Schizosaccharomyces pombe: one gene and its partners. The protein of the gene in region 3 interacts with the protein of the main gene of each other region in a pairwise test. Each region holds a gene or a part of one and is shown on either strand. Other genes may lie near its edges.

The links.
Region 1: the proteins of prt1 (region 3) and wat1 interact in a two-hybrid assay, tested with the Schizosaccharomyces pombe proteins (one large-scale study listed by BioGRID).
Region 2: the proteins of prt1 (region 3) and SPOM_SPAC14C4.04 interact in a two-hybrid assay, tested with the Schizosaccharomyces pombe proteins (one large-scale study listed by BioGRID).

The regions. Positions count from the first base shown.
Region 1 is NC_003423.3:1,661,328-1,664,932, reverse strand, and holds wat1 (TORC1/2 complex WD repeat protein Wat1/Lst8), read right to left. Parts: upstream 1,993-3,605; 5' UTR 1,987-1,992; coding exon 1,042-1,986; 3' UTR 573-1,041; downstream 1-572. Other genes in the region: vacuolar transporter chaperone (VTC) complex, GTPase regulator subunit Nrf1, read right to left, coding at 1-351; myosin-binding vezatin family protein Inp2, read right to left, coding at 2,544-3,605. UniProt on the Schizosaccharomyces pombe protein: component of both TORC1 and TORC2, which regulate multiple cellular processes to control cell growth in response to environmental signals. Nutrient limitation and environmental stress signals cause inactivation of TORC1.
Region 2 is NC_003424.3:5,232,316-5,236,213, forward strand, and holds SPOM_SPAC14C4.04 (uncharacterized protein), read left to right. Parts: upstream 1-1,744; 5' UTR 1,745-1,977; coding exon 1,978-2,781; 3' UTR 2,782-3,346; downstream 3,347-3,898. Other genes in the region: mek1 (meiosis-specific serine/threonine protein kinase), read left to right, coding at 1-251; LEM domain-containing protein Man1, read right to left, coding at 3,469-3,898.
Region 3 is NC_003423.3:794,299-799,634, reverse strand, and holds prt1 (transcription factor), read right to left. Parts: upstream 3,337-5,336; 5' UTR 3,053-3,336; coding exon 764-3,052; 3' UTR 641-763; downstream 1-640. Other genes in the region: Tea1-anchoring protein Mod5, read right to left, coding at 4,578-5,336.

The DNA of each region.
Region 1 (3,605 bases), 870 kb from region 3:
AACAAAGTTGGTTATAATAGCTGCCAACAAAACAAAGCAGAGAATGGTAGGTCCCAATCGATCATCGTAAGGACCACTTCCGCGTCGTCGAATAGCAGATGCTCTCCAGTGGTAAATACCAAGAGCATAACCCATGGTACCAATAGCAACAATAGTGAAAAGTCCTGCACTAATCTTACCAATTCGATCACCAAAGTTAAGTAAACCAACTGACAAACCACCCAAAACTACTGCAAAGCTCAACCAAGAAAGGAAAGTACGTTCATTAGCGAAAAAAACTTTAGGTTCAACACGAACAGGAAGAGCAATTCTTTTACCAGGAGTAGTTTGTAAAAGAGGTTGAGTAGACATTGTTAGTGGAAAGAGTGAGCTATAAATCGAAGGTTTTTTCTCCTCGCGAGATTAAGTATGTGCTGGCTGTGAGTTGTGGTTAAGGTCAGCTGTGTCGAACGGCCTAGAAATTTTTTTCGTATCTTACTACGGTAAGTCTCGGTAAGTTAATTAGCAGATTTAGCGAGACTAAATTCTTCAAATTTTGCATTATCAAATTCGCTTCTTCGCTAACCAGAAAGCTAATGAAGATATACATTTCATTTCATTTAAGGACACGAGGATATGTAACTTTTCCTACTTAATCCTATCATGTTTAGAGATAAAAGTTGTAAAATAAGTTAAACTACACTAATAAGCATTGAAAATTTTCAAAAGTTATCATCACTTAAGACTATTATTTATCATAAAAACTCCGAGATATGAAACTAGCAAATACTGTATCAAGGGAAGAATATAATTTATAAAAAATTTGTAAGTGACTAAGAAATCGTCTTGAAATCAGACACACTTAATATAAACGAATGTTGACAAGACAAGACTCTTGTTTTCCTAAGAAGATTGGTGAATAAAATCTATATAGCAAAGGTAAAATAGGATAAAGGCGTGTAATAAACTTGAATATATAGAAGTAATTTTCCAACATCAGTTGAGCTAAAAATACAACAAAACATAACTCGTAAACTTATTTTGAAAAATGCTTTGAAACACTTAAATTTGGTAGTCATTAAGAGCAACACAAACAGCAGCTTTGTGATGACCCGAATACTGACGGATTGTTTCACCACTCGATAACTCCCAAAGCCTTGCAACATGATCAGAAGATGCGGTTACTAAGTAGGTAGAATCAGCAGAAAACGCACAATCCCAAACCCATCTTTGATGCCCTTGAAGTCGTCTCTCAAGCATAAATGACATATCCTCCGTACTCCATATATTCACTGTAGCATCGGCAGAACATGTAGCAAGGTGTTTGACATCAGGAGACAAGACGCAGCGAGTGATATAACGCTGATGAGCTTGAAATTTGACAACGGGCTGAAGCAATGAAGCACCCTGATGATTTAGCATTCGCCAAACGTAGCAGTTTCCTTTGTTGTTCCCAGCAATAAGCATACTACCATCAGATCCAACAGTAATGCTGCTCATAGGTACATCTTCTTCCGGAATAAGTTCGTGTGTACAAGAATTCTCTCCTAAATCCCATGCACGAACTCGTCCACTTTGGTCGCATGAAAGCAGTTCACCTTGATTTGGATGAATTAACAAGTCATTAACAGGAGATTTATGATCATAGTTTCGCTGAACTGAAGGGGCTCTCATATCCCACACCTTTACTGTTCCATCCTCGCTCGATGTGGCAAGCCATTTACCATCACAATGAAAAGCGATGGCTGTAACATTATTGGTGTGCCCTTCAAAGGTCATTAATGGCATTTGACTACTAGTGTTTATGTCGTACAATCTTACATGAGGATTTCCGGCGGCTGCTAGAAACTTCTTATCAGGTGAAATACATAAACGATTTACCTGAGAGTCCGCATGTTGTATTGTTCTCGAGCATATTCCACTTAGGGCTTCCCAAAATCTAATGGTATGGTCATATCCACTGCTGACGAGCAGAACAGAATGTTGTGGTGGATACTGTACTGACATGTGGTTAAAGAATGGAGCGCTGTTATACTGTAGTTATTAAACAAACTCGAATACAGAGAGAATTAATGACTGAAAATTTTTAAAATCAATTAAATATGTTTATATTATATATTTAGTAAATTTTTTGTAGCATGACTTGTAAACGCACGATTGGCGATCTATACTTTAAATCTACAGCCATCAAAACTTTAAAAAATTTAACAGTTTTGACCATAAAAACAGGAAAATTCATAGAATAATAGTAAATTCATGTTAATTTAATTTTTTAAAAAATTGCGCCTGCAATAAGTAGCATAAGCATAAGTGTAAAGATAAACTGGTATAACTAAAATATTATACAGGACGAAAGGTTAAGGCAAATTTTTAAGCAACAAAGACATCATTGCTGAGTTGAACGACATTTAAACCTAGATAAATGTCGATTTGTAAATAGTTTATAATAACTATCCTAACTATTAAAACCAACAAGGTTCCGAAAGACGTATAACAGAAACGGACAATAATGGATAAAAAAGATCATAAAAGCAAAATATGGTTTAAAATTCTGAAAGCCAAAATTATTTACGCTTTCGGTGCATGTGTTGCAAGTTGAGAAGTAGTGCTCTATTAAAGTCCCATTCAGAGAGCAAATCTTTGAGCAGTAAACCAACTTGATCATATTCATCCATAGCATATGTCTGCATAGCTGTATTGTCTCCTTCTTGAATATATGAGCTGATAGACTCATGAGTTTCCATCATTACAGAGTGCAACTCGTTAAAAAGACTGCGCAAATTTTCTTTGCACATGATCCTGGGGAAAGGTTTGCTAGTAGTGTTATGTTGATTACGGTTGACCGATTCAACTGAAAACTTTAAGATGTCAACGAGACGAACCATCGACACAGACAATGCATTAGAGAGGTCACCTACCTCCCGGTGAACAATGAGCCATGAAGACCTTTCAGCTAAAAATGAATCAACCGGAAACGATAGTATGCAACATAGAACTTGCTTAGAGATTATAGTTAATTCATAATAAGCAGTTTTGATGTGATTGAGAATTTGGGTGGATTGGTCATCAAAGTCTTGGTTTTCTTTACGGGCTAGGTACATGGAACTCCGTTTTAAGCTTGTTGAGGAACCTTTTCGGAGGTCAAACGAATTTAATTTACCAAAGCAATTTGGAAGTCTATATAGTGATAATAGGTTTCTAAGGTTGGAAGCAGCTGCATACGGATATATTCTTGACAGAACCAGCTGGTATCTAGGTAAAAGCTTCTCATACAAACCAGACAGTTCGTAACTTAAAGTATTTTGTTCCGTAAGATTAAACAATAAAGGATCATTGGCAGGAAGGAAGTCCATTAACCGGGAGCGATTTGCTGCCGAATTTGCTTCCAATTCACAAATTTGGGAGTAAACACGATTAGATGTAGTTTCAAAATCATGCAATAGATTGACAAACTTATTTAAGCTGGATAATCCCATAATACGAATAAAATATGTCCAGCAATGACAAATCCGTATGAGCGAAGAGAAGCAAATATAAGATAAGGCTATTATCTTCACAAACTTTAGATAATGAAGACTTGCCATTGCAGATGATAATTTGTATAAAACAAAATCTATTACAATTTG
Region 2 (3,898 bases), on a different chromosome or scaffold from region 3:
TGTTGTCAGGTAATTCACCATCATTTGCAGATGGAGTGAAAGAAAAACAAGTGGATTTTCGAGATCCTGTTTGGAAATCCGTCTCCAGGCAAGCCAAAGATCTGATATCAAATCTTTTAAAAACGAATCCCCCAGATCGGTTCACAGTCAAACAATGTCTTTCCCATCCCTGGTTCGCGCGACATAGTAGTCGTCTCACCAAATTATATGAAACTCGTATTCTCAAACCTCTTAAACATTCCCGGCTATAGCCACGTAAGAAAATATTCGATAAACTTGATAAAACGATCGAAGTTTCTCCACATAAAAGCTATGTGTCTGAACTATGTAATTCTAACATTACTTAATTAAGTTATTTTTAGCTATAAACTATAAAATATGAACACATTTAATCTTTAGAATTAATCAGGCAATCCAACTTACGCAATTAATATAAAGAAATTTTATTACTTAAGATATGAGTGACCATCAATTTGTCAGCCATTTTCCCTACCTTAAAAAAAAACAATTTTTAGTCTCAATCAGCGTAAATTTGGTATTTTATAGATATAAGCATCCTTTTTTTTTTAATAGCTTAAAAAAACTTTATAAAAAGATAATCCTCTCCCTCCGGGATTCGAACCCGGGCTGCAAGCGTGACAGGCTTGTGTACTACCCCTATACTAAAGGAGATTATTGACCTTGTGTATAATGTAGCCTTATATTAGGTTTTTTATGTATTAAATGGCTTTTAAAATACTGTGAAATTAAATAAAAGAAGCTGTAGAAGATTTGCTGTACTTAAAGTTATCCGGATCATGAAATTTAAGGGAGAGAAAGCAGGCGTGGCTCTGTACATATGATTGATCTTGTTGGAGCTTTTCTGCTACCAATATTTTGATTATTGTTTACAAATTTGTTGTCATCTTTAACAAATCCAATTAACACTTGTGTCAGGTGTTGTTCTTGGTTTGAATTTAATACAAGCTATAGCACTTCTTGTGACTGATTTAATGGATGACAGTAGACATGTTGCATGCAACTACAGTTTTCAATAGCTTTAGCTAAGATGAAGTAATACCCTGGCTAAAAACGTTCAACCAAACTCAATGTTAATTTATTCATCTACTAACGATTATGTTATTATAGCTAACAGTTGTGTCATATTAATGAAACATAAATTTGACAAAAAAATTTGGGAAATACGATAATTCAAGCAAAGATATATTAAATTAAATTAAAATTTTATAAAAAAGCAATGTTATAGAACATCCAAAAAATCAGATCGAATGAGAAAAGATTTATCCAGAGTTTGGTAAAATTACTTGAAAACGTCAAATTCTCTTTCCAGGCTAATTAAGTTAAAACATTTTATGCCGCAAAAATTCCGCATTTATTTACACTAAAATCACATAATATAGCTGCTTTTTGTTCAAATATAATTATGATTTCATGAAATTAATTCAACATAACATTACTCGTTAAATAATTTTTATTCAATATTGGTCGACCTAAGGACAGTATAAATTTCCAAATAGCACAAGAGAGAGTGTAAATATATTTTAAAAAAATTCATTTAATTATTATCAACTTTAACGGCTCATAGATTATAAAATCAGGTCAATCTGCATTAATTCAAAAATATTTAACGAGGTATAACGGTTTTATGCGTACCACTTTAATGAACTGTAAAGATTCACGAATGTGTGATAGTATAATATTAACAACGGATACAGGTCAGTACCCGTAAAACATTCCTGTCTTCAACATTGTACCACCAATTTTACTCATAATACAGAACTCATTAAAAGAAGCTTTGATCTACTTCTGCAAAAATTTGGATTGTCAAATCTTCTCCTGTTAGCATAAATTCTTCTCTAGCTATAATTAGAAATCATTTGATAAGTTTGCATCCATTTTCTTTATTATAGATTGCAACTGGTTTATTTTATTGTAATCTCGTTTTTACTCACAAACTATTAAAAATTATCTATCATCATGTCTATGCCCATTGTTCGTGAAGTTAATAGTGATGGTTCCATGTTGCAGCCCTTTAGCAATCCCTTGTGGGTGCCTACTCCAGTTGGTAGATCGGGTAGAAAGCATAGAACGCTTAAGATGTGTATTGTATTACCAGACACTGGGTACGATGTTACTCAGGTTTGCGATCCTTGGCAATTTTTTGTAAAGGAGGGATTCATGGTTAATTTTGCTACTTTGACTGGTATTGTTGCTCAAGCCGATCAGCGCCTTTTAAGTGGAGTGAAATCTTGGTTCATCGGTGCCACATACAAGACTAAGGATATTTATGAAAGAATGTCAACTACCAAAGAATTTTTAAGTCCTTCAAATATGTCTGATATGAGCTTTACCTTTGAAAACTTTGACTTGGTTTATGTGCCAGGAGGGCAGGATCCCGCTGTTTTAGAACTTGTAGAGTCTCCTCGTCTCAGTTCATTGTTAGCTGACTATATACCTTTATGTGCCCGTGTTAGTGGCACCCGCGTTTTAGCAACAATGGCTCAAGGAGCAATCGCTGTTCAGCGGGCTGCTCCCAATCTTGAGATTAAATCGACTACGACTCCACTTTATATGGAAAGAGCGTCTTATTTATTTGGCGCATCTAATCCTCCGGCTTATACTTATACTTATATTCCTGAATCGAAATACGTACCAGGGCCCAAAACTGCTCACTGGGTTTATTCGGACGAAAAGTTTTTCTATGCTTCCGGTCGTTACTCTGGCGATGTTGAACTACTTTGTAAAGCTTTACGAAATCTCGTAGCAAGTGCATTGCATTAATCTTTCTTATTTGTCTTTACTATTTTATCTTATACTAAACGTGTTAATTATTTCTTTGTTGAGTTTCCCAGATTCTATTTTAATTTCATATTCTATAAATTTCATATTTCTGCGTATTTAGAGTTATATTGCAATAAAGATAATTCAATTTGCGAGTTTGGCTTTTGTTTGATTTGGAGCATTTTATGGCCCTTGTTTATCGTTCATTTTTAGTCCTAGAACTCTAAAAGTGTATTAGACCTGTTTTAGACTGTACCGTTCAATACCGTCGAGGCATTGAATTTTTACAAACATGCCAGAACCCTTCAAAATAAGAACTGTCACATGGAACTCTTTATTTTCATTGAGGCCGGATGCCAAATGCTAATTTGAAATGCTCTTTTAGACAGCTAATGCAAACGGTTCGGGTCTAAATTTGATATTCTTTTTTTAATTAGAAAAACCAATGTTAAATTAATGAAATTTTCGAATCTGTTGATTAAATTTTTCGATAGTGTTTCAATCTATAAGCTCCTGTGCTTAACAAAGTGCAATAACTAAAAAATAATTATATTAACGTGAGGAAAATAATGTTGACATAATAGTACCTACTGATGCTGCACTCGTATCTAGATTCATAAATCATCATGCCAAACGACATTCATAAAGTTTGACCTTAAGGTCATTTTTTATATATCTAACCGTATTTTATAAGGCAATGTCATCTGAAAAAACCCCGATCCATTCCCAAGCACGATTTTTTGCCAAGCGCTCACTGTCCCATACCTTTACGCTTACCATTCCTTCAAGGACTGAAACCACCTTTTCCCATATTTCTAATTGAATTGACAAAGGGAGATGTACAAGTTCAAAAAGGCCCTTGTCATCTGCGACTCCAGATACAAAACAGTCAGAACGTAGCTGCACGACTTCTACACGAGGATTGACAGAAAAATCTGTCAAGGACTTTAGCTTGGTTTTTTGTAGCTTAGCAATACAATGTGAAACGCATACGGAGACTCCATGCTTTACTACATGCTTCTTGGCATAGACTCTTATTCGCCATACAACGGTACCGGTAATAGCTGCCAATATACCAATCAACAAGTAAATTCGCCAACAGGATATAACTGCTGAA
Region 3 (5,336 bases):
TGTAATTGTTTGTGAACGATTCCTCGGATTTGATTCTTCGGAAACCAGCTTGGCTTATATGAATCTTTCTCTATATGAATTCTCTCAAAAAAATGAAATGCAGGCAGTGATGCATATGCAGCATGCACTAAAGCTGTGGTATTTGGTTTTTGGACCAGATCATCCTAATACTATTAACTCATTTACTAATCTTTCTCTTATGTTACATGGCTCTGAAAAATTCATTCAGAGTCAGAAGTGTTTGCAAATTGCAGTCGATCTATCAGACAAAATTTTCGGCAAAACTACACCTACTGCTTCTCTGTATTTACAGCTGGCTCAACTAATGGTTCTTAACAAGGACAGTCGTAGCGCATTGCATGCAGTGCGCGTGGCCTACGACATATTAAAGGAAACCTTAGGGCCAGACCACCAAAATACGAAAGAAGCCGAGCATTGGCTCTCCGAATTTACTGCACTAGCTGTCAATCAAGAAAGACAATCTCGGACTTAAAATTATCACATGCATATAAAAGTCCTTTAAAAAGCATGCTCACAATTAGTGAGCTATAAAAGCATTAGGGCATTCTTCATAATTGTTTGCCAATTTAGAAAATTTGTCCAAAGGACTGATAATGACTTCGTACAGAAACGGACCATCCAAATAATAAATAAAATAACTATTAAGGTGTAAAAATCTGTAAACAAAAACAAAACAAAAGGATTATCATATCATGCGCATCTAGACAACGACGTCTATTTAATAAAACATAATTTAGGTTAATTATAGACCGTTCCCATAAAAACTACAATCCAAACCCATATCATCAAAAACATTAGGATTGTAAACATTAGCAGCAGCAAAATTTAGATCTAACTGATCCTTAAACGGGAACATTGACATTGTTTGATCTAACACGGGAGTTATATTTGCATGTAGCTCATTTTCCTGAACAGAATCAAACTTATACTGGTCATTTGTGTTAGATGAATTTTGGAGGTTTTGATGCATTTGTAAGATGCTGTTATTAAGAGAGTTCAGATACCCGCTGTTATCAAATATAGAGGAGGGAGAATTGCTTTTAACACTTGTATCTGAATGGTTGCTGGATATACGTGGTGGTACATGGCTTTGCGATTTTAGGGAAACATCCGCAATATCAGGCATGCCAGAATTAGTAACATCTTCGTTCGTAGCTAAGTTGCTGCTAAAATTGATTGCTATTTGCTTAGCCTTTTGCATAGCTGCCTGAGCAGTCGAGATCATACTTTCTAAAGCATCCATAACGACATTCAAACGAACAAAACCATGTGTTTCAAAACTTATTAAACGATTTTTTACGGAAATTAAACAATTCAAATCTTCAGAACATATAGAAGCAAGAGGCCGCTTCAATATACTGATAAAGATGATAATCGAAGATGTAAAGGCATGATACATAATGATTTTCATTATCAATGGCTGTAGATCAACCGATTCCACGAAAAGATTTGTAATGGAGCGAGCTGCCGCAATGCATAAAGCTTGAGAATCTGTTATAGAGCCAGTCCCTCTATGGACACAATTCACCTGAAGATTTTTTGTAAGAGAATGACGATGAATAAGGATTAAACATGAATAATAAATAGCAGATGTTAAAATCAGATTGCTCGAGCAAAATTTGGGAATTTTAAAACGATTCCGAGGTTGCATACAGTCGGGAAGACTGTTATACCAGTTGTTTAGCAAAAGGTCAAACTCAAGTATTTTTTCCATAACTTGAGAAGAATTAGACTTCATGCCACTCACTGAGTATAGTTCCTTTAGGACTTGGCCAACAATTCGCGTTAACTGCACCTCGGCTTCCAAAAAGTTAAAAGTACCCAAAGGATCTCCTTCGGGTGGCTTAAGTCCATAATAGCAATAAATAGAGTAAAATGGCACCATTTGATCAATGTCATCGTCCTGAAAAGCAACGGGTTTTCCTGTCATCATCGAGGATACTCTATCCAAATAATATATATACCAAAACAAACGAGCTTTCTCTTCCGCATCCTCCTTTCCAATAGACCACATTGCACTGTTTCGATGAAGACCTAGCGTTTGTGCAACTCTAACGACTACACCAACGTTCAACCAGACCGCATTTGGTTTGGAAACTGCGCAATAATAGACTGAAGTAAGAAAATTGAAGACCAGAGTACGGAAGCTCATATCTTTAGTAACTTCAATACTGATTCCGAGAGTGTTTTTAAATAGAGCATTAGCTCGGGAAACTTGCTCTTCAGTATCCGCTATAGCAAGACAACCAAGAGATAAAACAACAACGTATGAAGCATAATTAACCAGATCAATGGAACCATCGGGTTTTTTGAAACAATTTGGGGAACCAAATTTTTGGTAAAAATTTTCTCTTGTAAAAACAGGAAATAAAGGATTGTATGATTTGAAGTAGGCATCTATGTATATATTGGCAATCTCTGAAGAAGGTAATTCGGCTTTTGAGCCATCGAAACTCTCATCAGGATCAAACAAACAACCCGATTTAGCCATGGACAGATGCTCTAAAACTTTATCGGATTCAACTCCTGATGCAAATTTTGCAGCATGTTGAATAATGGAAAAGGTAGATGAAGAGCCGAAATATTTTTGAGAACCGATCGGAGTAGTGACGAGAGTCCCCATTTTTTCATTCAAAAACGCTATATCGTCGGTGGAGTCATCGGAAGAAGTTTCGCCTTTCGTACAGTTTAGATCATGATAGTTTTTGGGAGTAGAGGAGGGATGTATAATATCAGGCTGCTGGTCGTAGTTCGGAATTACGGATCTCAGAGTAGACTCCATTTGTTCTAATCTAGAAACGAGCGACTTAATGTACATTTGTCTCTGACCTGTTCTTCTTTTAGGTCTAGCTGTAAATACGCATGGGATTCCGTGACTAACGCAATTCGAACATGCAGGTTGCTTTCCATCACAGCGAATCTTCCTTTTTCTACACATGTCACAAGCTCTAGGAATTCTTTTTGGTTTCCCCATGTTATCCCCGTGGCGAGGTGAGTCTTCCTCCGGCGATGCTGATTTCAAATTTTCCATCCGGTAACAATTTTTTCAATGTACAAGTGCAACGACAGTCGATTAGCAAATATTAAGATATGCCAAAGATATTAAAAAATAGAATAAAAAAGCCAATCACTTAGCAATACCTACAATATAGGACGTTCGTTTTCTGAGTAGTTAAAATGTGCGGGTCCAAAAAATGTTCCTTAAAAAGTATTTTCAGTAAGCGATTTATTATGAAATAAAGCTTTCATTTATAAATTAAGCACCAATTATTCGTTTTTAACAATTCCGATAAAAATTTTTAACCAAGTTGTGTTAGTCACGTTGATGCGTGTAGATTACTATATCAATCCGATTTTACGAAACTTATCGTGCTGAGCAATTGGGAATAAATGTAGAAAAAATACAGAAGCTCATTAATTTTGATGAAAGTCGTTCAAATTTTGATTTAATTTCATTATTAAATACTGAAATTAAATAATCAAAATAGTTTTTGCGAACAAAAACTAAGTTATACAGGTAGGTACATTTACCACATACCTGAGGGGTAGCATTAGAAAAACAGAACGAAAAGTTACATAAATTAAAAATAAAGCTTTTTGTTTTCTTTGGAAACGGATCAAAATTGAATTAAGACGGATCGGAGGAAGTCCGAAGTCCGACTTCTCAAAAAACATCTCATCCCTACATTGCAAACATAAAAGTTCGACACTAGATTTCAGAAAGCTTTTGCGAAAAAGAAAATTAAAAAAAAGCTTTTTCAATTTAATTTTGCTTTCATAAACTCGCCAAACTCCAAAAGCTATAAATTATAAGTTCCAACTTACCAATGACTGTAAATCAGTGAGGTGAAATAAATTGCTTTTTCTTTTAATGGTCTGTCGTTCATTCATAACACCGATTTAAATGAACAAAAGAAAAAAAAATCCTTTTGTTCTATTTGTCGTACAAAGTAATTCATGCCCAGTCTAAAATAAAGTGAAGTTCGTAGAGAAAAAGAAATGTGGGACAAGCAAGACTATCCTTTGTTAAACCAAATAGAAATTTAAAAGTTCCTCAAGAATATGCCATTTAACCTCCAAGATCGGATATCCAGGTTAAAGAGATCTGAAAACCATGACCAATCGAACCCGGTATAAATTAGTATGAGTTAACGCGATATGCACCACATGAGTTCAACGTTTCTAGTTTTCATTATTCGAAAAAATATGAAATTCTTCCTGCTAAAACACTATACTAAATGTTCATATGTTATTATTGTTCAAAAAACAAGGCAAAAAATTTAACATAACGCTCCACAATAAAAAAAAGATTTGAAACATGTAATTCTAGAGGTTATGTGTATCCCAATCAACGTTAATGATAACACGTGTCTTGAAATGAGTATGCATTAAAACGGAAATATAATATGGATATAAGCAGACAGGAAAGTACGCACGTGAACAACCATTAAATTAATTCCTTCAAGTATTACGATTTCCTTTGGATATCTGAATCCTTCATAGACACATGCTTTCGACGCCAATCCTTAAAATATTAAAAAAAACAAAAATAAATTTTACATCAAAATACAACAAAACTTCTCTAATTTGGAACCTTTCTTTTTAGGAGGTTTTTCACTTTTTTCAGAAGGTTTTTCTTTAGGTACTGGTGTTGCACTAGCAGCTGGTTGTGTATAGTCTCTGGTTACATGAGGTGGCATTTCAGATTCGTGGACACTCAAAGAATTCTGAATTGACGGAGCAGCTGGAGGATCTGGTGACCCATCACCAAGGGCGGGTACAGAAGCCGAAGGCAAAGGTGAGCTTCTTGAGTAAGTAGGTCGTTTCGGTGAAACTTGAGGTGTAGGAGTTAAATTGGCGTAGTTAGGTTGGTTCAAATTCACAGTGGAATCATTGGCATCCGATTGAGGAATATCTGACTCCTGCTCATCTTCAGTATTGGTGGAAGTAAAACGTGGAAATGGACTCCCAGTATTCGGTTGAGGTTGAAAAGAACGCATTGATTGAGAAATGGCTTCCGAAGATGCTGTACTAGCGTTGTCTTCAGAATGAGTGTCTACATCATATACAATAGGAGAATCACTCCTCGAAATGCGATTCGGTGTTGATTGCGTCTGCGCGCCAACCTGGAAAGGTCGATCTGCATCATTGTAGGAAGATTGAAAAGACGATTTACGAGATTCAGAATCGGTTTCTGCAACCTTCTTGGGATTTTGAGAAGGCGAATAAGTAACGGCGGCTTTGAGAGACTCATATTCAACTGAAGAAGCAGGTACGGGAGACGACATATCTGGCACAGATACAGGTCGAGCCTT